Linked DNA regions of Caenorhabditis elegans. The protein of the gene in region 2 interacts with the protein of the main gene of each other region in a pairwise test. Each region holds a gene or a part of one and is shown on either strand. Other genes may lie near its edges. The genes, in order: tct-1, dnc-2, arp-1 and imb-2.

Region 1 (6,895 bases), on a different chromosome or scaffold from region 2:
GTGTTCACGGGATCCTAGAATTGTGGTTTTGACCCTGGAAATTAAAATAGAGAAATAAAAGCGAAATATTTAAAAAAAATATTGGGAATTTATTACAGAAAATCGCAAAACTTTTCAGAAAAAGCCAAGGTTTTCCATAAAGTAATGTTAAATTAGCCAAAATAAAGCGTTAAGAACCTGCAGTTAACTAGTTGGATAGAAAAAAAATAACTTTCTCTTATTTTTCTGTGGAATATGATTAAATTGGAGAAAATTTCGAAAATTTTAATTTATTTTTCCGTGACATAATCGCAATTTCTCACAAACCCATACCATTTATATTCAGTTCTATTCAATTCATGAACAACTTGTTCCAACTGTGAATGTGTTCTTGATGCATAAAATATCGTCGGAACGTATGCACTCTTCAATTTCTCATCAGTTTTTTCTGCTCCACCGGCTCCTGACGTCTGCCACGTGGCAAAATCCAGCGGCTTCGTCTCTTTTTGACGTTGAACCCATGCGAGCGTCGAACAGAGAAGAGACAGCGTTTTTCCGGTACCCGTGGGACTTTCAAGTGCTGCGTCTAGTTTTCTATCCAGTACATCGACAACGTTCTTCATGAAGATCCTCTGACATTCGTATGGTTCAAATGGGAATTTTACACTTAACTTCGGGTTAATCCAAACTTCCGTTGAATTTGAAGCTTTCGGCGGCATACTGAAATGTGTTAGCCGAGATTTTACCTGGCAACAACAAAAAACAAACAGAAAATCGTGGATTATAAAACCAAAAATGTTAATCACACACCACACAGGATAAACTCAAATTTGCAAAAGTATGTTTATTTATAAGCAATGATGGCAAGATTTCTAGGTGAAATAGAAGGTTCAAAGAGTGGAACAACTCTAGAATTTATTCCATTTTCCCTTAACAATTCCACTCGATCGTCGATAATTGCTGACTCAATCGCTGGAGCAAACATGCATCGGAGAACTTCAAACGAATCGAACTGAGAGCTTCGGAGAGAAGAGACATGAGCGGATAGTTCAGATTGTGGAATTATCTGGAAATTAGATAGAAGTTTAGTAATTTATGTTAAAAAAATATTTAATATTAACCTGCAAAACTTTATCCAGTAAATGATTTCCCCGGTTTGCCATAGCTTTTCGAATATATTCTTCAAACGTTGTCTGATTCTCAATACATTTTACCTGAAATGAGAAAAATTGAATTTAATAGCTAAATTTCTAAACTATCGGGCCTACCGAACACATCCCGATATTCCGATCTTCTGGCAACTCGGAAACTTTCCAAATCCATTTTTCCAGATATGATCGAGCATATCGTGAAAGATCAATCTTCTAAAAATAGAAATTTGTGATAAGAAATAATTATTAATTTATACCTGTTTCAGAAATCGTTCCTCAAGATTCTCGTTGTTGTGGCAAGCTGCTTCTCGAAGTAAATAGTCTATTTCGACGTTTTCCCATTTCTTGCTCAATGGAAAAACTGTTGACTTTCCAAAAGACGTCTGCAAATTAACTGAAATTATTTTTTAAATAATTTTTTAAAACCTACATTTTCAGAAATCTCTCGTTCATTTTCATTATTTTCTGGTCGTAAAAAATGAAAGCATTGAAATTCTTTGTGGTAACAACATCCAAAAAGCACTAGGGCTTTCGATTTTTCACTTTTTTGAAAAACTTTGAGAATTGTCGACGAAAAATCTCCACAACAATGGAGACCGACCAAAATTGCAGAGTTTACAGCAAAATCATCGATTTTCAAAGCAAGATCTTCGGTTACAAAATTGGTGTATCGAATTGGTGTTGATTTGACGTTGAAATTTTCAATGCGAGATCCGATTTTTGCAGAATCCAGAAGTAATTTCTCATCGAGCGAGTTTGCAGCCAATGTGAACTGAAACGAGTTTTTTTTTGGATTTATGTTCAAATATTTGTGATTTTGACGCACCTGTTGGTTTCCTTCCACAGCCATAACCGATATATTATTATGAATTGAGATCATACGTGATAAATGTCCAATTCCAGCACCAATATCCACCAGACTGTCTATGGGATCTGCAAAATTCGACAACTGATTCGAAAAGTTTATTATTTTGAATACCTGCCGAATCTTTCTGGAATATTTGAATTTGTGAGATTAATTCCACAATTCTATCAATTTCGTGTTGTTTCTTCGCTTTAATCCTCTTCCTTACCAATCCATTCGCCGACGATATTGTACGGAAAGATGCCTGAAATTGTTAATTTTATATTTTAAAATTTCAAGATTATAACTACATTTAACCCATCTCTTGTGGTTCCTGTCCATTGACGCCAAAGATCTGAAGGATTTTCCACACATTTCCTATTGTATTCGAAAAGTTTAAGATTTGCTTTCAAGTCTCTCAGAGAATGTGGAATAGAGGCGCAATCAGCTGACACAAGATTATCCGATGAATTTACGAAGACTATGACGTCTTCAAGCTGAATATAATTTTAGATTAGATACATTTTTGTTCTAACCGATTCTAGATTCAGGTACTCTCTCCATTCATCTTCAAGCAAATCCCAAGACGACGAAGCAAAGTATTCGATGCTACGACTATTCAAGATCCTCCGATACTTCGAGACAACTTCATCGAATTTGGAACTTTCCATGAAACTCAAGTTACAAAATTACATTTTTTGTTCCAAACCATTCTAACCAAGGTACTAGAGACAATAATTTATGTTTTTGTTGCAATCGATATGTGATAGGGGAGTATATATAGTTCATTGAAAACATTAAATGATTTAACAGTGAAGTTTAGCACTTCTCCTCGATGATGGCTTCCTTGACAAGCATAAGGGTTGGAACTTCGGTTCCATCAACATCTCTGTACTCGATGATGGCGACTTGACCGTTCTCAGCTCCCTCAGCGGCTCTCTCTCCAATGAAGAAGGCGAGGTTCTTGAAGCGATCCTTGGCGAGAAGGCTGACAACCCATCCTTGAATCTTCTTCTTGAAGGCATCGACATCAGCCTTATCACGGTTGTTCTTCTCCATGTGGTCGATGACGTTCTTCATGAATTTCTTGATGTATGCCTTGAACATACTGGCATCCTCGTAGCAGTTCATCTCAACGAGCTTGTGGTTAAGGACAATATCGATACCACGCTCGACGTGCTCGTCAGATCCATCATCCTCGGCTCCTTCCTCAGCAGATGGGTTGGATCCAGCCAAAACGATCTCTCCTTCCTTGCGGACAACGTGCTTTCCCTTGAATTCGTAAACAAGATCATCAACCAACTTCATTGGGAAGGAGTCGGACGAGAGCTCATCATCTGAAATTGTTCGACAATCATTATCAATCTATAAACAAACAGCATCACATCTACGGCAAAGTTCACAGAACAAAATTTGATCGTCATCCATTTACCACACGTAACTCGCCAATTTGACACCCATGACTATACAAATTAGGGCAACAATGAATTCACAGCAAAACGCAGCGAACTCATGAAGCGATCTAAAATGCACAATCACAGTCAAACTAGCTTAAGGAGTGTGGAAAACTTCTTCAGAAAAAGAAATCTTACCGGTGAAAATATCCTTGTAGATCAGCATTTTTGAAGGATGGGGCCAGTAACTGAAATTACGAGATTAAAAATTCAAACAAGAAACAAAAAAATAGAGATATAGTTAAGTGTTCGATAACACCACAAAGAAAAGTAATTAAAAACGCTTTTTTTGGAGATAACATTTCATTAACAACAAATTCAGAACAACTTGTGGATTTAGTCGAAGAGACCGAATCCCATGTCGTCGTCGGATTCCTCCTTTGGCTCTTCCTTCTTGGCGGCTGGAGCAGCAGCAGCTGGGGCAGCGGCGGCAGCTGGAGCAGCAGCAGCGAACTTGCTTGGGTCGGCAATGAAGGCCTTGATGGTCTCGGCCTCCTTGAAGGAGACATCGGTGACGGCAGCAACTCCCAACATGTTTTGAAGTCCGTTGGCCAAAGAGTGGGCGACGGAAGCGAGAGTTGGGTAGTTGACGGCCAACGAGACGGAAGCGACATTGCGAACTCCAGAAAGGAAACGCTTGCGGAGCTCCTCGGTGGTCATGTCCAAAACTTCTGGAGTGTAGAGGGTTCCATCATCGTAAACTTGGCGAACGACCAATCCATATGAGAACGGAGTAACTCCCAACATGTTGAGAAGAGCAGATTCGGAAGCTCCGACCTTATCTCCTTCCTTGATGAGATGGACCTAAAATGAAAACATTACAATATACTATTAAAAATGAAAACTAACGTCGTTCAAGATTTCGATGGTACCTCTGGCGATCTTGGTTGGGATCTGAAGAGCCTGGAAGAAAGAGGTCTTTTCTGGTCCCATTCCAGTGTTCTGTGGTGGAAGCTTGACGTCGCATGGAGCGATGGCACCAGCCTTGGCTGGGGCTCCTTTACGGTTTTCCAAAAGCTTGGAGCGGATTTCTCCGAGATCTTCCTTGGTGAAAACGAATCCGACGTTCTCGACGATGTGTGGCAACAACTTCTCAAGGGATGGATTCTTTCCGAGGTGTCCACGAAGAGCCTTACGGATCATGGTGTTCTTTCCCATAAGGATCTCAGCATGTCCTGAAAATTACGATTTAAAGGAATTGAGAATATTAAAAATAGTAACCTCTCATGGCTTGACGAATCTCTTGCATTTGCTTGGATCCAACGTTGTCAACGCCGACGAGAAGGCATTTTGGGTATTCCTCGAAAAGCTCGACAAGCTTGGTGAAGTAGTTAGCCTTCCAAGTAGATCTGTCTTCCCTAACCATCTTGGTGAATTAAGGATCGCGTGCGGTTACGTTTTAAAGACTGAAAAAATAAATTATATTAAAACTGAGGTCTGAAAATGTACAATTTTGAAAATCGGTGGTTTTAGTGCAACAGAATTGAACGGATTCACATTTTTGAATATAAATTAATCAAATTTTGAAAAAATCGATCACATTTTCAACAAGGAAAAGGAAAAACAGTGAAAAAATTTTAGGAACACTGAATGTTTCGCCTCTCAACAACAGAAAATGTGTTTCGTCACGAGACCCTCAAGGCGGCAGCAGCCATGCGCCTTTAACTTTTCTCGTAAATCGACACCAGAATTATCATTAATTTTGTTGAAAGTGGAGGGAAAACCTCCAAATCATGATATTTCTAAATAAAAAACAGAGAAATTATTGATTAATTTCAACACCAATTAAAATATTCGAGTCCGGTGATGTCAAAATCAGAAAATCGGTGTATATACTTCTACATTTAATCAGTTTTCTTTTTAGAATGATTTCGCTCGTCGCCGAGCTCGGTTCTAATATAAATTTTTTTGAATACTGTAACTCCTGGTTGGGAATATTAGATATGATCATTTATAAGGGTGCGGACGTATTGAATGTGTGGCGCTTTCAAAAATGTATAAAAGAACGACAAATAATTTATTGAAATAGCTGAACATCGCAAATAAAGTTACTTTACACCATAAGAAACAAGAGACAAAAAACCAGGAAAGAATAATTTCTTCAAAGCGATGTGATAACTTGATCGAGCTCTTCGTTCGACACTCTTGTGAATTCTCCGATTGGACGCCCCTTCGCGTCAACTGTTGGTTTGATAACAACGACTTCGACATTGGCGGAGTTCAGTTTCTCTTCCATCACCTGCTTGAGAATGGCCAATGCCATCTTGAGTCCTTCCTTGATAGTCAGAGCCTGAAATAAAATACATTTTCCTGTATAACCATATTTGACGAAATTACATCATGATATTGCTCCTTGAGATTCTGCTCAGCTCCATCGCTAGCTGCACCGATCGATTTAGCCTTACAATCGATGAAAGTTCCAGATGGATCGAGATGGAACAGTTTGGCTCCTTCTTGGTCTACACCAGCGAACAGCATTGCTACACCAAATGGACGAGACATTGATGCTTTGACGTCGTCGTCTCCAAACTGAAGAGCTAGATTGGCGACCGACTGAGTGACGTCTTCCACGCGAATTTTGCGGTTATAAGTGAACCAGAAATTTTGAGCCTCGATCTGTGCCCGTTCGACCAGAGTGCGCGAGTCGGCAATCAAACCTGCGAATGTGACGCCTGAAACAATTCTTATAAATTAAGATGATAAACAGTTCACAGAACTAACCAATATGTTGGTCGACCTTGCTGATTTTCTCGATCGCGTCATTGACCATCAGCTTCGATGTCGATCTTTTCTCAGCAGCGAGAAGAACACCTTCGCTCGTCTTGATTCCAATGCTTGTAGATCCGAGTTTGACGGCCTCAATAGCGTATTCCACTTGGAACAAACGCCCTTCTGGAGAAAAAGTGTTGACTCCACGATCGTACTCGCTGCGAGTGAGGAACATGACTGGCTGAAATGTAAATAAATTATATTCGAAGCAACATTGGACATATTGAAGCACAAAAAAATGGAAGAGGTGGGATAGTCGTCGCGAGTAAGAATGAAAAAGTTAAGAAGAAGAGAGCGAAAGGGCGCCAATGAGATTGCGAAGTCATCATCGCGTCGAGACCCAGTAAGCGATTAAAAGAAAGCGCCTTTAAAAACCTTTTACTACTGTAATTTCTGAAATCAATTTTTAAAATAAACGTTTTAGAAAAACACAAAAACAAGCTGAAAATAGGAAGTAACAGGTTGCAGTGAGATGCTGACAATTCGCGGCGTGCGCGTCGCGGTGTCTGCGTCTCTCGTGTTGGCGCGAAAGGCAGAATTTCGAAATGAAATTTTTAAAGAAAGTTTTATGATGAATATTAAATAGTTGGAATCAAAAGTAATTTGGGAATATGAAACTATTCAACACGTGAGATTTCCAATAACGTATCAAAGAGGGAAAATGAATATGAGACTCGCTTACTAATAGATTTTTCGTC
Region 2 (7,339 bases):
GACGTTCCGAAGGTTCAACTTCATGTCTACTTCGCCAAGTTTCAAATAGAAACTGAGTAAGATGTTTGTGGAACGTCTCTTGTTATCGCCAGGCACAAATATGCCTACCTCGCGACTTGAAGTTAACCTACAACTCCTTTCCCGTGAAGAAAATTGCTAATAAGCTCGATAGTAAATTACCATATCAGACAAGTAGGTGAGGTATAGACTTCAAGTACTTCTTGAAGGCACTGAACGGAATGGCAAAATTAGTCTACTTTTTTGGACAATCTAGAAAATTATCGATTCTTAACCCTATTGTAGAGTTTTGCGTACTTTCGAAACTTTTCATTCGAGACCTAATACCGTAACTTTGCTCAAAATTCAAACCTTTCTGTAGCAGCGTCTCCGGGAGAGAGGTCGACTTCGTGTTACAAAAAATAGGTATTTCGATGGAAACTGTTTACAAATTTCGTAGAACTATTCGATCTAATAGTCTGATTTTAAAATTTTATATGAAATGTTCAACATTTCACAGCATACATGTCCACAAGATATACCCAAAACCTTTGGACCTGTATGATCGAACTCTGTTGTATGATTGTGACAGGAAAGTTAATGGGGAAAAGAAGTGACATAAAATAAACTGGTTTCTATTTGGGGGCCGTGATTTATGGATATTCGTCTCTGATTCAGATGAAAGCCGCGTGTTTATGTTTTCTAGTTTCAACTTTTGATTACGCGTGTCATCAGTCCTGTGGTATTGTAATCATCGAATAAACCCACTTCCTGTCAGTTTCCAGCCCCACCGTTTATTGCAAGGAAGCTCATAACATTAGTATTGTGAGTGCACGATGCACACATCGCTAAAAATATCGGAACATTCATATAAATAATTACGGAAGCTTTTTGTTACGCTTTTCTAATAGTAAAACTTTATTTTTCTCATTTCTATAAAATGTATTTTCTATTAAAAAACCATCTCAAAAAGTTTATTTGTCTCTATGAGCAAGACGGCCTACACTGGCCCTACGCCTAAGCCTAATAATGAGCTAACGGCTTAATCAAGTAGGATAGATCATTTCAAAACCGAATTGCTCTACTTCGTAAAACGAAGCGAACCACTCCAATTAAGAAACGATCATTCCTACTGGCTAAATCCGCCAGACTGACTAATTCAAGAAAACTTTGCATTCATATATTATAGTAACTCTTATCAAGATGTACTAGATTAACGTCATCACGTGGTAGGAAATTTAATTTTAAATTAAATTCGATTACTCAATTTATCTATCTTTTTACGATTATTCATTTCTAACACTTCGAACGCGTTTTTACATGTAAATAGAACAAATGAAAAATATGTTTATTTATAGACTACTGCGCGATACACCCCCTTCCCCCCTCCCCCTTTAATGTTATACTGAAATCTAAATCTTGAATTTCGACAAATTCTTCGTTCTATTTTAGAATCGTGCCCTTTTCATGTCGACATGTCTTTTTGTATTGTGCCAAGAAGCTAGGATATAAATCCTTGGAAAGCTATAATTTTCAACACAAAACACTTTTCTCCAGGAGCATGTCGATGTCCTCGCCAAGCCCTCATTTTGTGCTATTTGAAAATTCGAATGATGAGGCTTTGCGGTTTACTCATTTTCCTCAGCTATATTGTCTACGTGGATAATGCTGTTACTGCAGTGAGTTGATTTGCACCAGAAAGTGTAATGCAGACATTTAAAAATTAATATTTAAATGTGTTTTTTTGTAAATTTTAATCGGTTAATTGTGAACAACTTTTAAAATACTTATTTTTCGCCATAGAAAATGGGGTTTCGACATTTATTTACAGAGCTAAGCTATAGGTCCTACCACGATCAAAAGTTTTCGAAAATAGGCATGCGCCTTCAAGAGGATACGGTACTTTTTCCTGTAGTTTTCGAAATTTTCGTTTCTCCTTTTGTTGGATAAAATTTTTGGTTTTTCAAAAATATTATGAATCAAAATCAAACGAAAAACAAAAAAAAACAAAAAGCAAAGCAAAATCGCGACATAAAAAAATATACCGTATACCATCATAGACGCTGGCGCTCTAGGACACTTTTCGATAAAATGACTTTTTTTTTGCTCAAATTAGCGAATTCTTTATTTAGCAGATTGTGGAAATTTATCAAGACTTGAGTTTTCATGTCGGGACCAACCGAAATATTTCAGAACTTTATCAGTGACCCACGATCAATGTTCCCGAAGATGGTGAGAACTAAAAATGCTTTTCACTTCTTGCAATATTTCATGGGAACTTTTCGACGAATGTTCCGAAATAAAACAGAAATGATTGAGCATTTCAATTATTATGATGATCAAGTAAAAGGAACTGATTGTCATATTCAAGAGGAATTGGATTTTGCCAGATTTAAATCATATTTCGATAGATATACAAGAACTCATTACAATCCTGAAATTCGTATTATCTTTGCAATAATGACTAAAGATTCTTCTCATATGACGGTTGAATTCCATGTTACATCACAATCTTGGTTTGGATTCGAAGATCATTTTCATATGATTATCAGAGCGGTTAATGTGAGTTTTCGCGAAAAATCTGACTTAGAAATATGAAAATTTCAGGACGAGAATGTCGGATGGGGAGTTCGTTATCTGAGTATGGCCTTCAATTGCTGAATAGAGATTGGTTCATTCGGAAATATGGAAAGCAAAAATAAAGCACATAAATATATCGAACAGATTAGTTAATGTTGCATTGTCCGTACACAATAAATTATGAATTGTTTCTCTAGAAAGGTCGATAAAATCACTTCAAATCTGCCACTTTTGCCTCGAGAAGCTTCAGCTTTTCAACCACTGACCCGATTTCTTGCTTTCCTTGGGACTGTAATTTCAATAATTTAATTTGTTTATATTCCTCGAAACAATTAAAAAACACACCTCATACTCGATAATCGCTTCTCTTCCTTGCGCGACTTCCTTTTCGAGTTTTTCTCTGATAGTTTTCAAATGTGATAGTCCACCGGCAAAGTGTTGAACTTGTTCGTGAAGACGGTTCAATGCTTTAACCTTATTAACATTGCTTGGAAGAGATGAGCAAGCGACATCCCATTTTTGCATAAGCTCCAGAATTTCATCAACTTTCTTGTCAAGATTCTCGTCGATATCATTGTTGGCGCGTGTCTCGTCGATTTTTTCAAGTTTGGTAAGCATCATATTCAAACGTTGTTCAAGACCGGAGACATACGAATGATTAAGCGTTTCGCATCTCAAACATTTTTCATACGTTTTTATTTTTTTAAATTTAAGATATCTCACCTGAGTTTGAGATCTTCAATGGTGTCAAGTACGGGAGCTGATGGAATAACCGAACTTCCAATAACTTGTTCGATTCTTCTCAACCTATTTTCAAGAGTTGCCACTTTCGAGTCAGTGCGAACATTTGGTAACTCAACATCATGCTCAACTCGTGCAGTTTTTCCATTTGACTGAGCCACTTGCAACGTTTTCACTTCTTTCTCTAGATTCTCAAGAACCTCAGCGTTGAGCAAATCCGTTTTAAGATTTTCATCAGCACGAATTTGTTCATTCAGATCGGCGACTTCGTACAAAATGCGATTCAGTTTTTCGGCTGCAGTCTCGGTTCCCGAAAATCCTGCACCAGTAACTTCCAATACGTATTGATTGTTTCCAAATGCGTGTCGCCGCTTTTTAGCAATCGAGTCAGAAAAATCTAAATTTAAAAAAAAGATGATAAGTAATATTATTTTAAAATTACCGCTTGAAGTCAAGTTCAGTACCCGGTTTTTGTACTTTTTGAGAGCTTCGTCAACGTCAACCGAAATCTGTAAAAATCAGAATTCACTAAATATTTATATTATTTAAATTAATTAAATACAAACCAGTTCGATATCCGGATGAGTTGGATTGTCATTTTCAGGTTCACTTTTTTGAACTTGACTTGCAGCTCCGTCAGACTCGTAGATATCTTCTTTTCCAATAGATGACATTTTGACGCAAGATTTGAGAGTTTCTAGAAAACAGAATTTGATTTAAAATATTTAGGATCAAACGGCAAAAATTTAGAAAAATGAATAAACAAAATGTATGATAGGTTAAAGTAATAAATCGTGCTAGAAACATCAAAATGGCCGTGGAATTGATTGCGAAACAAGTAAATTAGATTGTCCGAGAGGACTACACACAACAATGAGTTACTGCGCTCTACCGGCACGTATTAGAGATTAGAGGCGACAGAGTTCAGTTTTGGCAAAAACGTTCGATTGTTCGAATTTAAACAGTTTTATTGTATTTCGTTCTTTTTATTTATTTTTCTGTAAATTTATTAAATTTTTAAGTTTCAGATGTACTCAGCAAATAGATCTCATCGCGCTGAAACAAGAAATCGCTCAAAAGATGAACTCCGAAAGGTAAACAATCAACTTTTCCAAAACTAAACTGATATTAAGATTTTCAGGTTATCAACTCATTGGAAAAAGTTCGTCGGTGGGAAAAGAAGTTAGTTCTTATCAAGGACACAAATATTCGGATCTACAAATGGGTTCCGGGTAATTTTTTATTTTAACACGTATTTCGGTATTTAGAAACTATTTATATATAAATTTATATGAAATACTTTTTTAAAATAGTAATTATTAAAAAAAAAACTTCACACTTATATTTTTGATACAATTCAATGACTCTGCATTATGAATTAATAACATATTCTGCTATATAAAAGTTTTGAATTTCTCAAAAAAAAAACCAAACTTTCAATACAACTTTTTCAGTGAGCGCTCAAAACATAATGGCTCCTCCAAAGATCAAGGAAGTCAAAGAAGTGGATGAGGAGAGCAATCAAGTCCCATCTGCTGAGAATTCCCAGGATTCCACCAGCGTTACCCAACCACCACCACAATTCGATATCAACGAAGATTCCAATTTTTCCACTGGCGATCACTTTGATAGTGACTCCAATCAAACTTTCGAGCCACAAAACTATCAAGGTGGAGCCACTGGTTCAACGGATTTCAGTTCGATGCGCGACGCTGAAATGACATCAAAACAACCATAAAATCTTTATCTAATGATCTCTAATCTGTACTCATTTTGATTTCATGTTGTATCATATAATCCTGATTCATTCCGAACTTTATCTCATTAATTCAAAAATTTTCATGTTTCATCACATTTATTTTTAATAATTTTTTGTATTCACCAGTTAAAATAACAAGTTAAAACTTTAAATAAAACCCATTTCAGTGCTGTTTTTACAAGTGAATCTGCCATTGAGAGATTTAAATCTTAAAAGATGAGTATCAAAATAGTAATTGTTGCATAGATCAAAGAAAAATGTGAAGAAGAAGAATTCAGAACAAGCTTCTCATTGCGAGGGCAGAATCCGAAAAAAGATTGTAAAGGTTGGGGATATCCATCAGCAATATCAAATACAGATCGGGATGAATTCATTCGAAAAACTTGATTTCCACGTAGAAGATGAATTTCTTTTTCATAAGTGAAGGCAGAATGTACTCCTTTTGGAACTCTCGCCCAATTCAGATCAGTATCTTTTGGATACCTTTCATCAACTCTTCGATGATACATTTTCTCGTCTAATTTCCAATATCGAGATCCTTTCCAAATGTATACAGCAGGCGGACTGAAATGGAAATTATATTTGATTTTATTAAGTTGTGGTCCTGAACGAACCTTTTCAGCTACCGTACCCTCAGAGTAGTTTCTCAAAATGTATTATGTACCGTCTTTTTGGAAATATTTAAATAAATGTTTTTTTTAAACACCAAGATAATCTTTCAAAGTATCAAAGTAAATCGGTGAAAAGCTGCTAAACGATCGCGGGTACGATATCTGAAAAGTTTCGTTCGTGCCAAGACCCGAGTATTTTTGATTAGCAATGTGTTACGTTTTGGTAACATTTCAAACTTGAAACAAATATGTTAAAAAGTAACGATTTTTCAAGTTTACGAACTTTCGAATTTTCGCTGAACCTACAATTATCATTACTCAATATTTATTTTTTACTAACTGCTTTGATTACTCACTTGAAATAATGCCACTCATAAGCCAAATCCACGTATTTCTCATTAATTCCGATATCCGAAAGTCGAAGAGGTGCGTGAACCATGTGATTTCCATAGATGACATAAATCATTTCTCCAACAAAAACCCAAAGATTGTGCCCAACAGTGACGGCAGCATCAATCGGATTTGGTAGTCCGGGAAATAATTGATTAATTGGAACTGCTTTAATTATAAGACGCTTCCAATCAGACGATACACGCCAAACCCATTGACTCTGGAAATAAATTAGATCATTCGAGAAAAGGTACTGTGACTGGGTACGGTAAGTGACCGAAATTTTGTGAAACTTGCTGTTTGCAAAGAAAAATACTGTAACTGGTCTCGATTTCATTTTTCACGATTTCATTCGAAACTAGGGCCCCTAGCTAGGGTATTCCTCAAAGGTCCACACTTATAAATTGCAGCTGAAAAATTTCTGTCGTGCCGAGACCGCGTACAGTATCCTTCCGCTAGGAATAATAACGGAACTTTGCATTTGTACTCTGTAATTTTTTACCTTAAAAATCAAATATTCTCCTCGATACTGCACAACAATCGGATTTTCCACTCTACACTCATTTGGTCGAATATCATCAGATTCATGTTCCCGTGTTCTACCTCTATCTTTCTCAGTTTTCCGTCTCTTATCCTCATTTTCAGTTTTTCTTTCTTCTTCTTCATTTTCTTTTTTTGAAGCTTTTGCCCCATAATAAGATCGCATATTATATTTATCCATTGAAGTAAACTTCCACTTCCTTGGTGTATCATATGCAAACATCACACTATCAATATCCGGACTATGACTGAATCCAAGTGCATGTCCCATTTCATGAGCAACTACTGAGTAAAGAGAGTTTGCTAAAATTGTATTAATCGTTACGAGACCTTGAATTTTAACATACCGCCCATTCGTTCTGTGTAATTAGTCATTGCAAATTGAACTCTGTCATTGATGTGAATTTGACCATTTGTCGGGAAGAAAGCGTGAGCCAATGTTTTTGTGTCAAAGCGTACAGTACAAGGGTAATGATTTTCTCGCTGCAAACAATTGCAATAGCATAGAAATGTCTGTCTACCTGCCTACCTAAAACGCCTAATTAAAAATCCTAATAGTTGAATTTTTCAAAAATTATATAAGATGAAAATTGATCTACATCACAGTACAATCGCTAAGGTAATGCATAGAAGTGAAGTAGGCGAAAACAACATTTTAAATAGTTTTGGTTATTCTCACCCCAGCGGAAATGACCATCATCGGGTTCTTGACCGACGACTC
Region 3 (9,458 bases), on a different chromosome or scaffold from region 2:
AGGCAGGTACACGTTGCCTAGAAGGCAGGCAGGCAGTTTTGTGCCTGCTTGAAAATTGTAGTTGAAAGCAACAATTGTAGTCTTACAAAACGGTCTATTGCACCATGTTTTTCCGACATTTTTCAATTAAAATTAGTGTTAAAAAATAGAAAATCGCTAGATTTATTTGAAAATAACATTAATTTCAACTGAAATTTTTCAGAAAATCTTCAAAAATGACCTGAAAGAAAAATTTTGAAAAATGAAAATATGTTGGAAGAACATGGTGCAATCGACCATTTTTGAAGAATTACGTGTGCATATTTTCAACATTAACATTGTCGGTAGGCACTTGGCAGGCATAAAATACTTTGAAGGCAGGTAGGCAGTTTTGTGCCTACTTGAAAGTTTTAGTTGAGAACAACAATTGTACAAAATAGACTATTGCACCATGTTGTTCCAACATTTTCTTTGAGAATTAGTGTCAAAAAATAGAAAATCACTTGATTTATTTGAAAATAACATTTATTTTAGTTGAAATGTTTGTGAAAATGCTCAAAAATGGCCTGAAACAAAAATTTTGAAAAATGAAAATATGTTGGAATAACATGGTGCAACCGACCAATTTTGTAGAATTATTACGGGAACAATAAATCATGAGAATGCGTACGTGGAGCATTTTATTTGACGCGCGATATCTCTTAGCGAAAACTACAGTAAGAACTCAAATAACTATTGCTATTTAAGTTCTTACTGTAGTTTTCGGTAAGAGATATCGCGCGTCAAATAGAATGCTCCACGTACGCATTCTCATGATTTATTGTTCCCGGTAATACAGAGAATAAACTTAATTTGAGACTCACTTGATTATTTTTTCAATTATTAATCCATCTCACCTCCGAATCACCTTCCTAACTTTATAGACAGTTGTGCTGGAACAAATCGCAATGAAAGCAATAAAAATCAAAGAAATTTTCATCGCGGCCGGTCTATCGGAAGTCCAATGGGATTCAATTCTATCAAAAAAACGGAAAATGATATTTTTTTGCAGAATAAAAAAAAATTGGTGAAAAACCAGTTTCGAAATGAAGTAAATAGCATCTTATTGCTATCATCTCTTCATCTCCAAAAATGACCTCATCTCCATTTCAGAGCGTAGAGACCAAAATCACAGGGAACTAGAAGAGGTGTGTGTGTGTGTGACTTTTTTGTAGTTATAGGTTGTAGTTTTTTGAAAAATCTGACTTTTATATTTACTCAATTGGAGGAATATGTGTAATTCAAAAAATGAAGATTCCGTTAGCTATCGGCAAATCGGCAAATTTCCGGCAAATTTCCATAATTGAAATTTCCGGCAAATTGGCAGAATTGAAATTTCCGGCAAATCGGCAAATTTCGAGAATTGAAATTACCGGCAAATTGGCAGAATTGAAATTTCCGGCAAATCGGCAAACTTCCAGAATTGAACTTTCCGGCAAATCGGCGAATTTCCGGAATTTAAATTTTCCGGCAAATCGGCAAATTTCCTGAATTGAAATTTCCGGCGAATTGGCAGAATTGAAATTTCCGGCAAATCGGCAAATTTGCAGAATTGAAATTTTCCGGCAAATCGGCAAATTTGCAGAATTGAAATTTCCGGCGAATCGGCAAATTTCCAGAATTGAAATTTTCGGCAAATCGGCAAATTGGCAAAATTCCAGAATTGAAATTACCGGCAAATTGGCAGAATTGAAATTTCCGGCAAATCGGCAAACTTCCAGAATTGAACTTTCCGGCAAATCGGCGAATTTCCGGAATTGAAATTTTCCGGCAAATCGGCAAATTTGCAGAATTGAAATTTCCGGCAAATCGGCAAATTTGCAGAATTGAAATTTTCCGGCAAATCGGCAAATTTGCAGAATTGAAATTTCCGGCAAATCGGCAAACTTCCAGAATTGAAATTTTCGGCAAATCGACAAATTTCCAGAATTGAAAATTTCCGGCAAATTTGCGGAACTGAAACTTCCGGCAAATCGGCAAATTTCCGGCAAATTTTCCGGAATTGAAATTTCCGGCAAATCGGCAATTCGGAAAATTTCCGTAAAGTTTTTTTTAAAAATATTTTCCTCATGTCTTAAAATTGCACAGTTTCCGCCTGACGCAGCGGCTCCATTGAGCTGCCGGGAACCTGTAATAAATTGCATTGAAGAATTCCATAAAAATCGAATCGTTTAGATATAAAAAATAATAATTGAAACAGGCATAAAGCAGATAGTGGGACACGGAACTGGGGGAGGAGGGGGTAAATTGAATAATTATGTCCAGAGAATCGGGCTATATAACATTTTTTGAAGAAGGTCGCCTATTTTTGAGAAAATTTTGAAGAATTTTTGAGCCAGCGCCAAATGGAACAAATTAGGGAGAAAAAGGGGGAAAATATGCAAAAAAAACAAATAAATTACGATGAAAAGTGAGCAAAAAAGGGAAAAAATTCAATATTTAGAAGAATCTCTTGTGCATCGCCGACGCTCCCATATCTTCGTACTCCTTCTTTCCGAGCCACATTTTTCGGAAAGTGTCCAAACTGGCGACAATCGAACCGCCGATCCATGTGAGCGAATTTCGTTCCTGCGACGCGGAAATTCGAATTTTTCCGTCAGCGGGCGCGATTTTTCGCATTTCTCCCAGCAAACGATCGCCGAATCCTTTGAACAACGTCGTTCCACCGCTCAGCACGATGTTGCTGTACAGAGTTTGTCGAAGATCCACGTCACATTTCTGGAAATATTTAGTTTGAGCTGATGGGTGTTTTTTTTTTTTAGAAATTCCGCATTTTTTGGCTAAAATTTAACTGAAAATTTATTTAAAAAAATTCCTCTGATATCACAGTGGCTAAATATCATAGAAAAAAAAATTCTAAATTTTATATGATTTTTAAAAATTGAAAAATAGCTTTAAAAAATTTAAACCTCGCGCCAAGTGGTTTTATCGATTTTTTTTTTTAATTTTCTACCGATTTTTCATGTTTTCAGTATTTTTTTACTGGAAATTCGAAGGAAAAGTTAAGAAAAATGCGAAATATCAATTAAAAATCAGCGTTGAAGGCGTAAACCTTCAATGTTGAGTTTTAATCGATAATTCGCATTTTTCTTGACTTTTCTTCAAACTTCCTGTAAAAATACACTGAAAACGTGAAAAATCGGTGGAAAATAAGATAAAAATCGATAAAATCACTTGGCTAGGCTCGTTTTAAAGAAATTTCGCATTTTTTGGGTAAAATTCAACAGAAAATTGATATTTATATGGTAATCTTGTAGAAATTTCGATTTTTGTTCTACTTTAAGAGCTAAAACATTTCCAAAACGAAAAATCAAGTTAAAAAGTCTAAAAGATGAAAAATGTGCACTTAAAATAGCAATATTATGTGCCAATTAATATTTTCCAACGAAATTCCACCAAAAATTAAGCAAAAATGTCTGAAAAAGTGATTTTTCGTCCGAGCAGGCTGTGAGCCTACCATAATTGATTGATTGACAACATGTGCCATTCCAGGCCACTCGGTTCCGATCAAATCCGGCTTGAAGAGCACTTCCGGCGCACGGAACAATGAGTTGGAGATTTCGATTTTCGTGGTGTCTGGCAGAGCGTAGGATGACTGAAAGAATGCGATTTTCAGCTCATTTTCACTGCAAAAAAAATCACTACTTTCACTGAATTATTCTCCACTTTCGTCGGATCCAACGCCAAATAGCACGCGTTCTCCTTCATCTCTCGGACAATTTCGAACTCATTGCTCCTGTGGAACTCGTATCCTTCTCTGCGCAGAAGGACTCGGAGGTATTCGGTGACATCGCGACCCGCCAAATCCATTCGTTGAATTCTGAAAAAAGGAAATTTTAGAATTAAATGCTTTTTTTAAAGGTGGAGTGCGCCCAATGGAGAAATTGCTTTAAAACACGCCTATGTGGTCACAATGACCGAATATCATGATTAAAAAATTCAAAAAAATTTTCCTGATTTTATATGATTTTTTGAAAATTGCAAAAATATCAGTTTTCCCCCCTAATTCCTATTTGAATTTCCGCCAATTGAATTCGTTCGCTGGAGCGCACTTGCATTATTTTTATTAATTTAAATTTTTATTTCATTTTTTCTCATTACTTCACTGATTTTCTTCATTCTTTGTGTATTTTTATCGGAAAAAGAGAGAAAAATTCAAGATAAATTGCAAATTATTTATTTAAAAATCACTGAAAATGGGTGAAACTGTGAACTAAGCTAATTTCAGGTTTGCTATCGCCGGAACTCATAATTTTACAGTTTTACGCATTTTCAGTGATTTTTAAATAAATAATTTGCAATTTATCTTGAATTTTTCTCTCTTATTCCGATAAAAATACACAAAGAATGAAGAAAAACCAGTGAAATAATGAGAAAAAATAAAATGAAATGCAAGTGCGCTCCAGCGAACGAATTCATATGGCGGAAATTCAAACCGGAATTAGGGGAAAACTGGGATTTTCGCAACTTTCAAAAAAAAAAAATCATATAAAATCTAGAAAATTTTTTTGAATTTTTTTATCATGATATTCGGTCATTGTGACCACATAGGCGTGTTTTAAAGCAATTTCCCAGAGTTTACTGACGCATGCTTCATTGCAAATCCCTTAACAATCGGAACAGCATGTGTGACTCCGTCTCCTGAATCCAAAACGACTCCGGTCGTTCTTCCGGTGGCGTACAGCGATAGCACAGCTTGCATTTGAATATATAACGCTGGAACATTGAACGTTTCGAAGAAGATCTCAGCAGATCGCTCGCGGTTCTTCAACGGATTCAATGGGGCGTCGGTGAGCAGAACTGGATGCTCTTCTGGGAAGATTTTCAGCTGATCCTGTCCGAAAATGTACTCCCAAATTTTTTCCATATCGCTCCAGTTATTGACGATTCCGTGTTCCATTGGGTATTCGATTGAGAACAACCCGCGGTTTGATTCGGCCTTTGGTCCGATGAAAATGTCTCCGTCGAGCCCTCCGGCCATTACTCTGTGATATTTCGGTCGTCCGACGAAGTTGGCGAAGCGAACCTGTAAAAAATGAATTAAAAGATGATTTAAAATTCAAAATTCAAAAATCTCAAGTTTTGATTCGTTATTGCCTACCTTTGGCTGCTGTTCTCCGGCGAAACCAGCCTTAATGACTCCGGAGCCATTGTCGATGACCACAGGCTGATTGGCGATGACGTCGTAGTCCATTTTGTAACCTGAAAGATAAAATAACAGTTTTAACCAAAATTTGAGCTTGAAACAATTAAAAAACCCCGGATTAATTGGCATTTTCTGTGGAAACAAAATTAAATGAGAGTTGCGAAATGTACGCAGAGTTGCAGCCGCCGTGTTTGCGGACAATGCATCATTTGCGCGGAGAAATGGGGGTTTTGTACTTTGGAGGACAGAGGCTGAACAAATACATAGCGAGAGTATCGGAAACTATTGATTTTCCAATAGTATAATAAGAATACATGCACCTATACTTCTGGCAAAATATTACAACAGGATTCGATGCGGACCTGAGCAAAAAGAAAGCAATCCTCTTACGCGCGCGCCTTTAAAGAGTACTGTAATTTCAAACTTCCGTTGCTGTGGAATTTTCATGGATTTTTTTGGAAATTTTTCCATAAAAATATTTATTTAAAATGTGTTACAGTTTTTAATCACCAAAACATTGGAAATATTTTGCAATATATAGCTCTAATTAGAGCTCTAAACTGTTAATTTCAAAATTGAAGTTCAAACAACAAAGTGGGCGTGGCCAAACGAGACTCCGAATTCCGATACGCAGTTTGCAGTGGGAATTGATGAATTTCAAGTTTTAAATGAAGTTTTCGAGATTTTGTTCACCGAAAATAGAAGTTTATTAACTACATACAAGACAAATTAGCATTTGAAAACAAAATGGCTTGCTAGAAAAAAAAACCTGAACCAAAAAGTAAGTTGATAAAACCAAAAAACATTTTTCATTCATTTGAATATCCTATCTTGTATTTCTTCGCCGAAAGTTGTCCAAAGTTGGAGAAAGTTGTTGGGGAAAGTTTCTCGAAAGTTTCTCGAACCGTATACAGTAGTCATCACTTTCAGCAGTTTCTGTGTAAATTTTGCGTAGATCACAGTTTATTTATCTCTCAAATCGTATTTCTGTTTTATTGTTATCTACAAATACATTGTGATCTACGTGTGATCTACAAAAACAAACGCCTCTTGCATTGTTTTTTAATCTTGTCGTCTATACTACACACACACACACACGTCTCCCATCCGGAATGATACTTGGCACAGTGCCCGCAGTGTTGTGATCTCTGCGCAACATGGCCCTCTTCCTCCCTCTCTCGGCGTCTCTCACAATAGAGTGCTGTCTGCAGACCGTTGTGGTGCACAGTTTTTTTTTATTGTTTTCTGCTTTCAAATCCTTGTTGCTTTCATATTTTCTGCTCGTTTCTTTTTCCATAATTGAAAACTGTTTATCGAAATAATCTTTTGTAGCTTTGCAAAGTTAAACATGTTTCATTTTTTCTCACAAATTCCGACAGAAATTTCATTTACTTTCAGTGACCACCACGCCAGTACAAGTACCAGCTCGCATGACTAAAGGAAGTTCTGATAAAGACAATGGATACGAAAACATCAGATAATCGTAGTTTGGATCGGAATTGAGTGATGACATGTTTGAGGTATTGCGCATGTGTCTTCTGCCACATTTTAACAATTTTTAATTTAGGAGGACATCTACATGACACATAGAAGTTTGTCAATCTGTTGTCAAGACTCCGACTACAATTGCACCATATGAAAATTTTGGCGAGAGAAATGAAAAACAGACGTACTGGTTAATGGCCGACTGTTGTCGATGTGGTCCGAAGAACTCTATTTATTGAAAGTCCTGAAAGACTAGGGTGAGTTTCAGCTTGTTTAAAAGAATACATATATTTACCGAGGGGAATTTGAAATAATTTTGTTATGTATTTCAGCTCCGGAAACAGTTTTTGCAATCAGAAGATCCCTGGAATTCCTTAGAACACTCGCTCCACATGCAAATTGTCGTCGTTTTGAAGGAGTCATTATTGGAAAACGGGAACACTCGTGGTGGATCTCTTCGAAATTGCATTGCCGCGGTGGGTTTAATGAAAAATATCGGAAGTGCATACTACACTGGGTCATTTTGTAGACTTGTTGGTGGGCATTTAGGGGGGGGGGCGGCTTCCTCCGAGCCTGCTGTGCCTACCTAATAGGCATCTTATCAGTCAAAAATCCGATAACACTTGCTCTAAATGGAAAGATGGAGGACACAGGCGAGAGTGGCTTGAGTCCTGGATCCCCCGAAGTTTGAATATTCAAAAATGGAAGAATTGTCACATTTCCTTTTCTTGTTCCTTATTTGCTTTGATTTGGGGTTCCGCTTTCGATATTCCAGTTCTATTTTAATAGTAGTAATAGAGTGCCACGGATTTTGGGTTTGGTTCATAGTTTTATCCGCTTGAGCGGGGGTTAAAAAGTGAAGGCTAGCATGCACAGCGTGCTTCCGGATACATCTCCACGCTTTCCAAATACAGGTGGAGTATTCCCTGTTAATTTTGCCGTATAGGATCATCATTGATTGACCACATCTAATTCTGGGCAATTTCACTCATGTGTTCCTGGGCAACTCTTTTTATTTTTCTGCTAATTCGGGGGAAGGTCCTAGAATACTATTGACTTGTGAACTGTTTATGATCCTTCTGGCAAACTTACTGTGGTTTTCCGTTTGTATGTCCTTCGTCGACAAGAGCAGGACAATCCAACCGTTGATTGCGCTCGAGGTGTTATCCGATGGTGGTTCTCGAGGCCCACTCAACACTCATTCGAGTGGCCTTCTAGTCTTCAAATGTTCCGTTGTATTTTGATGTGTTGACATTGATGTAATTTGATGGTTGGTGATGCCATCAGAACTTTGAAAATTAGTTTACACTGTGCTCTTTCATTGATATATCGAGCCGAAACTGTAGTTTTAAAAAGAATTGGGATCGAAATCACTAGTCATCGGTTGGTATTTTAGTGAAATTCATACGCTGTCTTTCATTTGGGGTTCCTTTTTAAAATTTCAGTTTTATATTGATGTAGAGTGATTGGAGTCGCCGTGAGAACTTTGAAAATAAGTTTACACTGTGCTCTTTCATTGGTATATCGAGCCGAAACTGTAGTTTTGAAAAGAATTGGGATAGAAATTGTTTTTTTTTTCTTTTTTTTTTTTCTTATTTTTAATAACGTGAGGAAAATTGACTTTTACTTTTTCTCTAATGGTATTGAGGACTGCAAAGGTCACTTCTAAACACACTCCCAGCCTTGACTACCTTTGCTCATTGACTACCTCATATCATTGACTACCTTGTACTTTAGATTAAGATATACAACTTTGTAGTTTATTACTTTGTCTTAAAAATTTTCCCACGGAGATATCAGCATCCGAAGTGAGTGCGTTTTTTGAGCTTAGGGGTTCTACTTTACCTCAGGTTTTCGTCTGCAATAGTGTGCAGAACATCCAAACTAGAAAAACGACAAAAATTGCACTTTTCTATAATATCTGATCAAATTTTGAAAAATTTTCAAAAAAATAAATTTTGGAAAATTTTATTAGATAGAGGTAGTCAAAGAGCATTTGAAGGTAGTCAATGAGCATTTATACATCAGATCTCATCTCCATTTTTTCCGGAATTTCAGGAAATGAGAAAGTGCACGACCTTCTTAGACATCAAAAAGTAACATGTTTTTGAAAATTCTGATTTTTTAGCGAAAAAAACTGAAAATTCTGAAAAATTAGATAAAGGTAGTCAATGAGCAACTGAAGGTAGTCAATGAGCCGAAAGGTAGTCAATGAGCAAAAGGTAGTCAATGAGCAAAGGTAGTCAAAGAGAAGGTAGTCAATGAGTGTTTGCCTTTTTTTTTGGGCAAAAAAAAAATTTTCTCTGAAAACGTTCGAAACCTTTGAAAATTGAAAAAGGGAAATTTTGTTGTGTATGCAAATCAATTTTGAGTCCTCTAACTTTAAAAATAACCATTTTAGAGGAGTTTCAAATTGTGATTTTTTGCCATAAATTGGCCATTTTTGCCACTTTTTAATAGTTTTTGATTGATTTTCTAAATTTCTATTATTAAATTCAGCATGTATGAATTACCCGTTTGGTGGGCCAAATATACAAATTAGGCAAAACAGATTGACAATAAAATATTTATTATATATCTATTGTATCCTATACACACGGGAAACCTTGATAAAAAAGGTTGAATTTTTGGAAATTTTGGAGATAAAAAAAATTATTTCCTTAATTTTCAAAATTCGAAATCCGCTTCGAGATATTCGAAAAATACTCGAAATTTTGAAAAAATTGGTACTGAAATTAATTTTCCGGAAATTTTTTGAAAAATCAAACAAAAAAAATTAAAAATTTCAAATTTTTTCCAGAAGTTTGAA
Region 4 (8,556 bases), on a different chromosome or scaffold from region 2:
AATGTCGAAAAAAGGTTTCAGCTTTTGGAAATTTAGACTAGATTCGTTTATCCAACATGCTCAAATATCATCATGAAACACTAATGGAATCTATTTAAAAATTTTTAGTCAAAGTTTTGGCAAATTGCCAAACGTTCGGTAAATAACCAAATGTTCCAAAAGTGTGAGTTTTTGAGTGATTTCGAGCATTTGGTTCAAATTTGAACCTTGTCTACTTTCAAAATTAGGATAGGTGAACATTAGGTATATAGCACTTTTTGGCTGTAAATAAAATCAATTTTAAATATTTTTTATTCACAGTCAAAATATGATACTTGGACATTTTAGAACTATAAAATTTTTTTAATGTTTCACTGACTTATAATTACGTACCTCAAATTCTATTGAATCCCAATCACTGAAAGTCTCGTCAGCAACTTCGTCGCGCTCTTCAACATCAATATCGTGATCCACAGCCAGTTTGAGGATATTAACCAAATGACCGGCAAGCTTCGTTTCTTCTCTTGTACAAATTGGGTTGTCGGGTAGAGGATCCGGGAATTTTTGGTGCAGCAAAAAGAGGACGTTGGAAATGTTCAAAGACATTACGAATACGGAATAAAATAATGGAATAACTCACAATTTTGGAAATAAATATAAAGTAAAATTCAAAAAATCCCGCAAACTCTGTTTTTTCGCGGTTCAACATTTCGAACCTCGAAAAATTAATTAGGTCTGAAAAAGTTGAATTGTAGTACCTGATTGCGCCCATGATGCGGCGACAACTAACGATTGTTCAATATGTTTCTGATAACTTGGTTGTTATCTTATCTGAAGGTAATAGCTGAAAAACTTACCAAAATTAAAACTGTTCTACACTACATAACCCTTTTCAACAAAAAAATTTTTTTTTTTTTTGGAAAAAATCTTCATACCACAGATGGAGAAAAAGTTGAAATTTTCAAAAAAATTAAATTTTCCAAAAAGTTTCCACATGACTTTCATGCTTTCCAGGAACCAAAAAATTTATGCTGAACCTATTTAAAAACGAAATTAACCGCGTTTTTGTGGATAATTTATGCTCGAGAAAAAATTCAAAAAAAATTACACCTAGTGGGGGACGAACCTGTGACGTCTGGATTAATGAACGCAAGTGTTCACCAATCGGCTATTCGAACGGTGGCTGCAGTGCAAAACGTTTGTGTAGCCAATTCTACACACTTAAAATGGGATTTTCAGCAAAAAAAGCACTAATTTTTAAGGCCAAAAATTTCAGCTTTGGGACCGAGTTAAGCAGATTCCAAAAACTGATTCTTGTAGCCATAGATCTGATCTTCCATTTTCACTTTGTTTTGTCCTCCTAGCAATTGCAGGGGTAACACCATTCCCTAGTTAGTTTATGTCGACGATCGATTTTTTTTTCAGAATTTTTGAAAAAACCGAAAAATGAAAAAAATGTTTTCTTTTTCTAATTTCCAAAAAAATTTTTTTTTGTCAATTTTCGTATCGATTGTTCTATTTAAAAAATCGGAAATTTTTGTTTTTCGATAATTGCATTTTTATCGAAAAATTTTCTCTAGTTTGAAAATGAGGGCTTTTGCTGTTTTGAAGTCTTATATATTTTTTGATGTTTTTTCTCATCAATATATTCAAAAATCGATGAAATATCGACATTTTTTCGATTTTGTCAGAAAAAAATCGAAAATCTTCAAATACCCCGGCAAAAAGAACCCGAAGTGAGTCGGTCGGTACTGTCCACGAAGCGATAGCGTCACACCAAAAGATGAAATCATTGAGAACTCCGACGGGATTCATGTTGATCATATTGCATAAACCGATGAACGCGCTCTCTTTTTCCGCGTTATCCTTAATATTTCGAAGTGAGTAGCAGCAAGGGCGAACGAATCGGCTGATATGGGGAGCCAGCTCTTCACCGCAACATTGTCCGAGACGGCCGATTGTGATGGCTGTAAATTTAAATACCTAGTTTCCAAGCTTTTACTATTTTTAGATATTCACCAGTATTCTCCAACAACGTCCGCTGCATATTCTGCTGGCTATTGATGACAACAATCAGAGGTTCAATGATGGGCCCGATGAACTGTTTCATTGCGGGACCCATTTTCAGCGCCAACTCTCCGAGCGCCCAAATCGCATTGTTGCACACACTGATCTTGGAGGGATCCAGGTTTTGGGCGAGAAAAAATATGAAATTGCCTGCAAATTGTAAGATTTCTGAAAATGTTTATCAAATCTGTAGACGCGGGAGCTACTTACTACTCTGTGGGAGCACTCGTTCTGGACACGCTTTCGTCAAATCTCCGAGTAACGCGAAGCACGATTGTCTGACGTCTGGCGTCACATCTAACGAGCAGAACAACATCAACTCGACCAGCTTGCTGTTTGCCACCAAGGGATCCATATGTTCCGGTAACGACTCAGCGAGTCCCGAGAGGAGATCAAGCGCCACAATGATAAAGTCCGTTTCGGGAGCTTCTACTTGATCCGGAGCCATAATGTGTTGTTGGTTTTGTTGAACACACTTTTCGATGAGACTACAGCACCTTGTGAATACCGGTTGAATGTATGGAAGGAAGGATTGTCCCATTGCTGTAAAAAGTATGAAGTCGAAACTATCTTATAATTAGTTATTTCTTTTACCAACCTGAAACAATTGCAGAAATACATTCCAAAAGTGGGAACAACTCCTTGTCCTCGTCACTCAACCGCTCCCACTTCTCCATCAACGGCGGCATGAGCATTTGCACATAAACCGGATGACTTAACGCGTCGCCCACAGAATTCGCTAGTGTTCCGATGGCATCGTACAAAATCAGAAGATTCTTTGCCTGATAGCACTGGAACGCCTTGACCAGTTGATCGAGGATCTCGCCAAGGAATGGAATGAGCTGCTCGCCAGCTTCTTCTTCGAGAGTTGCGAACGCAGAGCATGCAGCTTCTTGAACTTTCTTGTTTCCGTCGAGCGAACAGCGGAGAAGCTGAAAATTAATTTGTTTTTCTCAATTTAGTACATTACTTGCGTTCAACTAGAATTTAACTGAAAGAGTACCCCATTTTAAATCTTTTAAAACAATTTTGCAAATTAAGTCTAGTTTTTTTTTAAACTTTTTTTGAAGCACTACGAGGTTTTTTATATATTCTAAATTCTCACATTGGCGAGCACATCCTTGAAAAACTGTTGCCTGAAGTTCTCGTCGGATGCAATATGCGAACTATATCTGGACAGCGTCCAGCACGTGATCGATCGAACGAGTGGCTTCTTGTCAAACATCATAGCCAGCATGAATGGTATGAGCTCGCCAAGGTGTGGCACAACGCCGTCCATGCATCCCTCCGCGATTGCCCCGAGCGCAAGTATTCCAGACTCTTTGACCAGCCAGTTGTCATTCATCAATGTGTCCTTGAGGAGGGGGAAGAGCTTATCCAACAGATCCTTTCCAAAAATAGAAGCCAGAACATCTAAAGATGCTGCTGAACACCTTCTGATATTCCAGTCGCCACCACCATCGTCATCATCGTCCTCGTCTTCCTCATCATCCGACTCCACAAGGCCACCAAGACCATGCTGCTTCGACTTATGAAACCTAGGCTTGATATCCTCCTCTCTATCAGGAACCGAACTATCTTCATCATTAGCTTTCAACGCAGGATCTGTCTCAGAATATCGCATGGAGCCAAGCAGAACTGGTATGAGCTTATCGAGATGTGGAAGCACCATTGTTCGGCAAATATCACTATTCTCAGCAATTGAAAGCCAAAACTCGCAGGCCTCTAAGGCAATCGACTCGTTGTGATCTTGAGTCTTCTTAATAATATATTCTATGACATTCGGCAAATGAGGCATCATTTTCTCGATGTGTGTGTCCAGCAGAAGCGTCAGCGATCTACATAACTGTTTTTGCACCTCCTCATCATTGTCATTGTGGCGAGCGAAAAGCGAAGTAAGAAATTGATCTATTGCAAAATCAATTGGATCATTATTAACCATTAGAATGCAATTCACACAATTCATTGCAAGAGCCCGCATCTTCGCAGCATGATGCTCATAGAAAACAAGAAGCTTCGGCATGATTGGCCGAAGAAATTCCGACTCATACCGATCCGCCGAGTCTTCGAAAACCTTCTGAAGTGCTCCAAGAGCGCCTTCTTGCATCAGCTCGTCGGGTTGCATCAGAACTGTGGCCAGAGTGTCTAGAAGGTCCGGCCAATCGCACATATTCTCCTCCATAACGATAGTCGTGACAATGATACCTACTGTCGCACGAATCAGTGGCTCTTGATCGCCTATACTTTTCAAACATGTTGTCCTGACGAAAAACTTCACGTCCTGCGGATACTTATTCCATTTTGCTCGAATATTATTTTTAAGCAACAAGCCGGCCAGCGATCGACTCGTCGCGTCAATCATCTCCTTCATGTCGCTCAGTATGTAAACCAGATAACAACAGAACTTCTGATGCTCATTGAGCTGTACCAATTGCACTTGAACATTACGTTGAACATCTCTGTCTGTGGAGTGAGCGTGTTGTAAGAGTTGAATTACCTGAAAACTCGGATTTTGCGAAATAATCGATTTTTTAACGACGCTCACCTGCTCTAATTCGTGTTGGTCTGGTTGGAAAGCCATTTTGATTCGTCGGCATAAAGCTCCAAATTGTTCTGAAAAAAGAAACACATTAAAATCGTAAATTTAAACTTCTTAACGAGCAATTAATTAAGATTTTACGGATTGATGTCAAGAATGCAGTAATTTCTGCAGAATTGAAATTTGTGTTCAAAATATCAACCATATTGATATTTTAAATAAAATGGAGATAAATCCTGCAGCCAGAAGCAAAAATCGATGAGGACGCGTTCTCTGAATTGCTGAGAAGGGGAGAAATTGTGTTTTGCCGGCAGAAAAGAGCACTGCGGGTGGACGGAAAAGACGCCAAACCGAATACGCGCCAGCATTCACAAGGGAAATTTGAAAATAATTGTTTTATATTTTGTAACAAATATGGGGAACGTATTTATCATGATCATGGGAAAAAAATATGACAAATGTTTCAAAGCTAGAATTTCGCTGCGAGACCCGTAACCTGTAAGCCATGTTCCTTTAACTTTTGATTACTGTAGTAGGCACCTTTTGATATAAAAAATTCCCGTGTTCGAAGTTATTTAATAAAAAAATTAAAAAAGTTAACTTAAAGCTTAAAATGTTTATTTGACAAATAAAAAATGAATAAAACACGTTCATTTGGAGAAGTGTTATTTAACCAGTTTTTGTAATGAACGGGAGATCCATTTAGAGAACAACAAATTGAACACAATTGTACTAGAGGAAAGGAATGGAAAATCCATAAATGTTGAGAAAAATTGAAAAGAAGAATAGAAAAAAATGTTAAACAGTTATTTATGACTAGGGCGAGGGGTAAGGAATGAGAGAAGCCCATTAACTGTGAGAGAAATTGAATGGGAAAAAGAAAAAAACAGAACTTCAAAATCTATTTAATTGGTTGGCCCAAAATCAGCCTCAATGAGCGCTTCCCGGATGGCTTCTGTGCGCACTTCGAGAACCTTCTCGTTCTCGACGTTGCCGAGAACCTCTTCCACAATGGATTCCTTCTGTTCCAGAAGAACTTCACGAGAGATTCCTGTGAATTTGGTCTCAATCGCCTTGATAATTGTGCCGATTGTAACGGTCTTCGCTGTGGACTTCTGGAAAAAAAAAACCCGATAAAATTTCTATTATTTCTTTTTTTCTTACGTCAGTCCAATTTTCCTGATTTCCAAAAGCTTTCTCCAACGCTTCGTGTATCAATTCCAAATCTTTATCGTCGGCATCGTCCAAGACTTGCTGAACGACTTGCGAGTTCAGAGCATCATAATCCACCAAAATTGGAGAAATCTCGGCCGGCTTTAAACCATTGGAGGCGCTGTGGGATAGGCGATTTGGTATCATAGGAACCTTGAACACTGGCTCAGCTGATCGTGGGATGTCGGAATATGACTTCTGAAAAAAAAAACTTTAAATCAGTATTTTAAAATCATCATCCAAGTGAATTCAGGTTAAAATTACCTCCATTTTCACCCTGCACGAATTTGGAAGCAGCTCATCAAAGCTAGAAGACTCTGGAATCGTTGAGTCGGATTGTGATGTAAAAACGTCTCGAGATCCTTGACCGGCTTCAGACGGCACGAGCGCAGCGGCAGCTGGCTCGGCTGATGACACTGGCTCAGATGATGATGAGACGTCGGAGGACGATTTCTGAAAAAAAAAACAATTGAATTCAGTCTTTAAGATTATAATTCAAGTGTAAAATTACCTCCATTCCCACCCTGGAGAAATTTTGAAGCGACTCAGAGAGCAAGATCACAGCAGCAGCTGCACCTTCGAGAACGGTAGTCTCGTTTGTACTCTCGGTGATAGATTTCTGGAGATTGTTCACAGCATCCGTCATTTTGTTAGACAATTCGTCGACGTCCATTGCTTCTTTCTTAGAAGCAACCGATGTATCGAGATTTTCATCCATCATCTGCTCATCTGATTCTAGTGGAATCGTTTCATCCAGATCTTCATCGTCATCCTCAACATCCATGGCCTCGTGCTCAGGAGCTTCTTCCGCTTTTCCGTCTTTCTCAACCACTTCTTGTTTTACATCCGCATCGCCATCATCAACATCAATGGCCTCTATCTCACGAGCTTCTTCCGATTTTTTGTCCTTCTCAACCACTTCTCCCTTCACAACCGCATCCAAGAGCCTATAAGAAATCAAGCTACGGTCTGTGCCAACACGGAGCTTCACGTTAAACTTTCGCTCGATGCTGAAAAGGATTATTTATACGATGGATTATGAACGATATCTTAACTTACAGCTTCTCAGCCTCCTCATCAATTTCAATATCAATATGCTTGAGAAGATAGAGAATTGTTCTCTTGTGAAGTGGCATTTCGTGGAGTGCTGGGCACATGATCTTTCGAAAGTGCGAACTCCAATTGGTTGCAGATTTCGACGATCGTGAGACTTTGACAAAATCTCTCCAGAACGCGATTCCCTTTGGCATCAACTGGACACCTTCCTTCTTTGCCTCGACAATCTTCTCATGGACGAACTTCCATGCACACATATGATCGTCGAGTGTGAATTTTTCTCGCTTCTGAATCTTTTTCGGCGCATACGTTTCACGTACATTAGCTGACTGTGATCGATGGCTTGAAGGTCCTGGTTGATCCGTGGAAGCTCTTGAACGGAAATATGAAGATGTTGGATCCGAAACGACTTGAATCGGAGATGGTGGACGAATATCGTCGTGAAATACCATAAGACTGGGAGATCTGAAATAATTATAATTAAACTTAAAAAATGATATTTTCCAATACCTGTTCCTCATCGGAGTTCTTGGGGTCCAGGTAAGAATTTTGCTACGTGGAGCTGGCTGGTCTCGCACAATATCCCAGCTGACTACATATCCGTCGAGTGACAAAGCCACATCAAGCCGATCATTGTCGAGAATCCATTTACGCTGATGATAGCTCAATGGCACCGACAAGTCTTTTAATATCTGCAGTTTCGCATCCGGATCCATCGCCTGCTTCCAAAGGTTCTCGAGCATCATTTCGTTGAAATGGTGGAGCACAATGTGAGCCGACTTGATGGGAATATTCGGTTGTGATTGGAGCAGCTCGGCCCAAAATTGTTCAGTCATCAAAAATTTTCCGGTTAGACGGGCGGCGTTCTGGGAGACATGATTCCACATTGCCTTCTCGAAGGAATCAGAAATTTCCACATCTAGCGGCATTCGATTTTGAAGACGTTCGGGTTCTGGGACGGTTTCTGGGACGGTTTCTTCAAGTGTTTCTGGAATAGTTTCCGGTACTTTCTCTTTTCTCGATACGGATCCACAAGTGACTGGCCTTGCTGAAAAGTCGGAGAACTTCTGAAGACGTCTATTTGAGTCAACACGCAGAACAGTTTTGAATTTGGCCTCCAGTAGAATCTCGACATGCGGAGTCACCTCGATCTCCAGATTCTTGTAAAGAGTGAGCATTTTTTCTGGTTCCATCTCGCATTTGTAGAGAGTGGCTTTCATTGTTGTGACGTAGCTGAAAATTTGAAAATTAAAGCTTTTCGTGTCGTTAAAGTGAAAAAAATCCAAATGAAAAAGAAAAACTTACTACTCGTAAAGCTGCTCTGCCGTGAAAACAGACTCATGTTCCTGTAGATATTCCTTGAACAAATCCAAATTAACCTCATTGAACATCTCCATATTACACGTATTTTCGTGAATGAACTCCCAAATGGTCAGCTCATCGTCGAATGACGGTCTTGACGGCTTGTTCTTCTTTGCTCGAGATGACATTTTTCTGAAATATGGAAAATGAATATGTTTCCGAAATATCGTGACAACTGATAGAAAATATAACGTCGTTTTTTTGGATTATTTTGTTAAAACATCGTGCCAAATTGCCGTAATTTTAAAATATTTTGGGTTTTTTTATTTTTGGCATGATTTCTTAAAAGTGCACGGTCCTATTCAAATGCAAAAAGTTAATCGAAATGGGTTTTTTGTTTT

What was found.
Region 1: the proteins of dnc-2 (region 2) and tct-1 interact in a two-hybrid assay, tested with the Caenorhabditis elegans proteins (one large-scale study listed by BioGRID).
Region 3: the proteins of dnc-2 (region 2) and arp-1 interact in a two-hybrid assay, tested with the Caenorhabditis elegans proteins (one large-scale study listed by BioGRID).
Region 4: the proteins of dnc-2 (region 2) and imb-2 interact in a two-hybrid assay, tested with the Caenorhabditis elegans proteins (one large-scale study listed by BioGRID).

What each region holds. Positions count from the first base shown.
Region 1 is NC_003279.8:10,565,833-10,572,727, reverse strand, and holds tct-1 (Translationally-controlled tumor protein homolog), read right to left. Parts: upstream 3,617-6,895; 5' UTR 3,595-3,616; coding exon 3,567-3,594; exon of another isoform or gene 3,316-3,566; intron 3,312-3,315; coding exon 2,794-3,311; 3' UTR 2,693-2,793; downstream 1-2,692. Other genes in the region: rtel-1 (Regulator of telomere elongation helicase 1 homolog), read right to left, coding at 1-34, 313-698; F25H2.12 (Methyltransferase domain-containing protein), read right to left, coding at 824-1,045, 1,101-1,193, 1,248-1,343, 1,388-1,513, 1,561-1,902, 1,957-2,063, 2,110-2,239, 2,286-2,471 and 1 more; rplp-0 (Large ribosomal subunit protein uL10), read right to left, coding at 3,765-4,232, 4,278-4,603, 4,650-4,794; pas-5 (Proteasome subunit alpha type-5), read right to left, coding at 5,530-5,718, 5,766-6,100, 6,150-6,372. UniProt on the Caenorhabditis elegans protein: Involved in calcium binding and microtubule stabilization.
Region 2 is NC_003281.10:5,921,740-5,929,078, forward strand, and holds dnc-2 (putative dynactin subunit 2), read right to left. Parts: upstream 4,016-7,339; 5' UTR 3,993-4,015; coding exon 3,885-3,992; intron 3,828-3,884; coding exon 3,761-3,827; intron 3,716-3,760; coding exon 3,301-3,715; intron 3,251-3,300; coding exon 2,923-3,250; intron 2,867-2,922; coding exon 2,789-2,866; 3' UTR 2,659-2,788; downstream 1-2,658. Other genes in the region: C28H8.2 (uncharacterized protein), read left to right, coding at 1,611-1,676, 2,191-2,559, 2,605-2,658; bcl-7 (BCL7-like protein), read left to right, coding at 4,347-4,412, 4,460-4,550, 4,773-5,056; zmp-1 (Matrix metalloproteinase-A), read right to left, coding at 5,287-5,641, 6,045-6,298, 6,581-6,921, 6,966-7,101, 7,298-7,339.
Region 3 is NC_003280.10:15,116,063-15,125,520, reverse strand, and holds arp-1 (Actin), read right to left. Parts: upstream 5,221-9,458; 5' UTR 5,213-5,220; coding exon 5,120-5,212; intron 5,045-5,119; coding exon 4,605-5,044; intron 3,839-4,604; coding exon 3,664-3,838; intron 3,614-3,663; coding exon 3,476-3,613; intron 2,737-3,475; coding exon 2,458-2,736; 3' UTR 2,176-2,457; downstream 1-2,175. Other genes in the region: Y53F4B.23 (Neuropeptide-Like Protein), read right to left, coding at 876-958.
Region 4 is NC_003280.10:14,361,810-14,370,365, reverse strand, and holds the start of imb-2 (Importin N-terminal domain-containing protein), read right to left. Parts: upstream 4,666-8,556; 5' UTR 4,628-4,665; coding exon 4,592-4,627; intron 4,544-4,591; coding exon 3,152-4,543; intron 2,979-3,151; coding exon 2,645-2,978; intron 2,590-2,644; coding exon 2,257-2,589; intron 2,215-2,256; coding exon 1,999-2,214; intron 1,947-1,998; coding exon 1,696-1,946; intron 1-1,695. Other genes in the region: tebp-1 (SPK domain-containing protein), read right to left, coding at 5,491-5,700, 5,750-5,995, 6,062-6,250, 6,309-6,807, 6,857-7,318, 7,364-8,086, 8,159-8,343.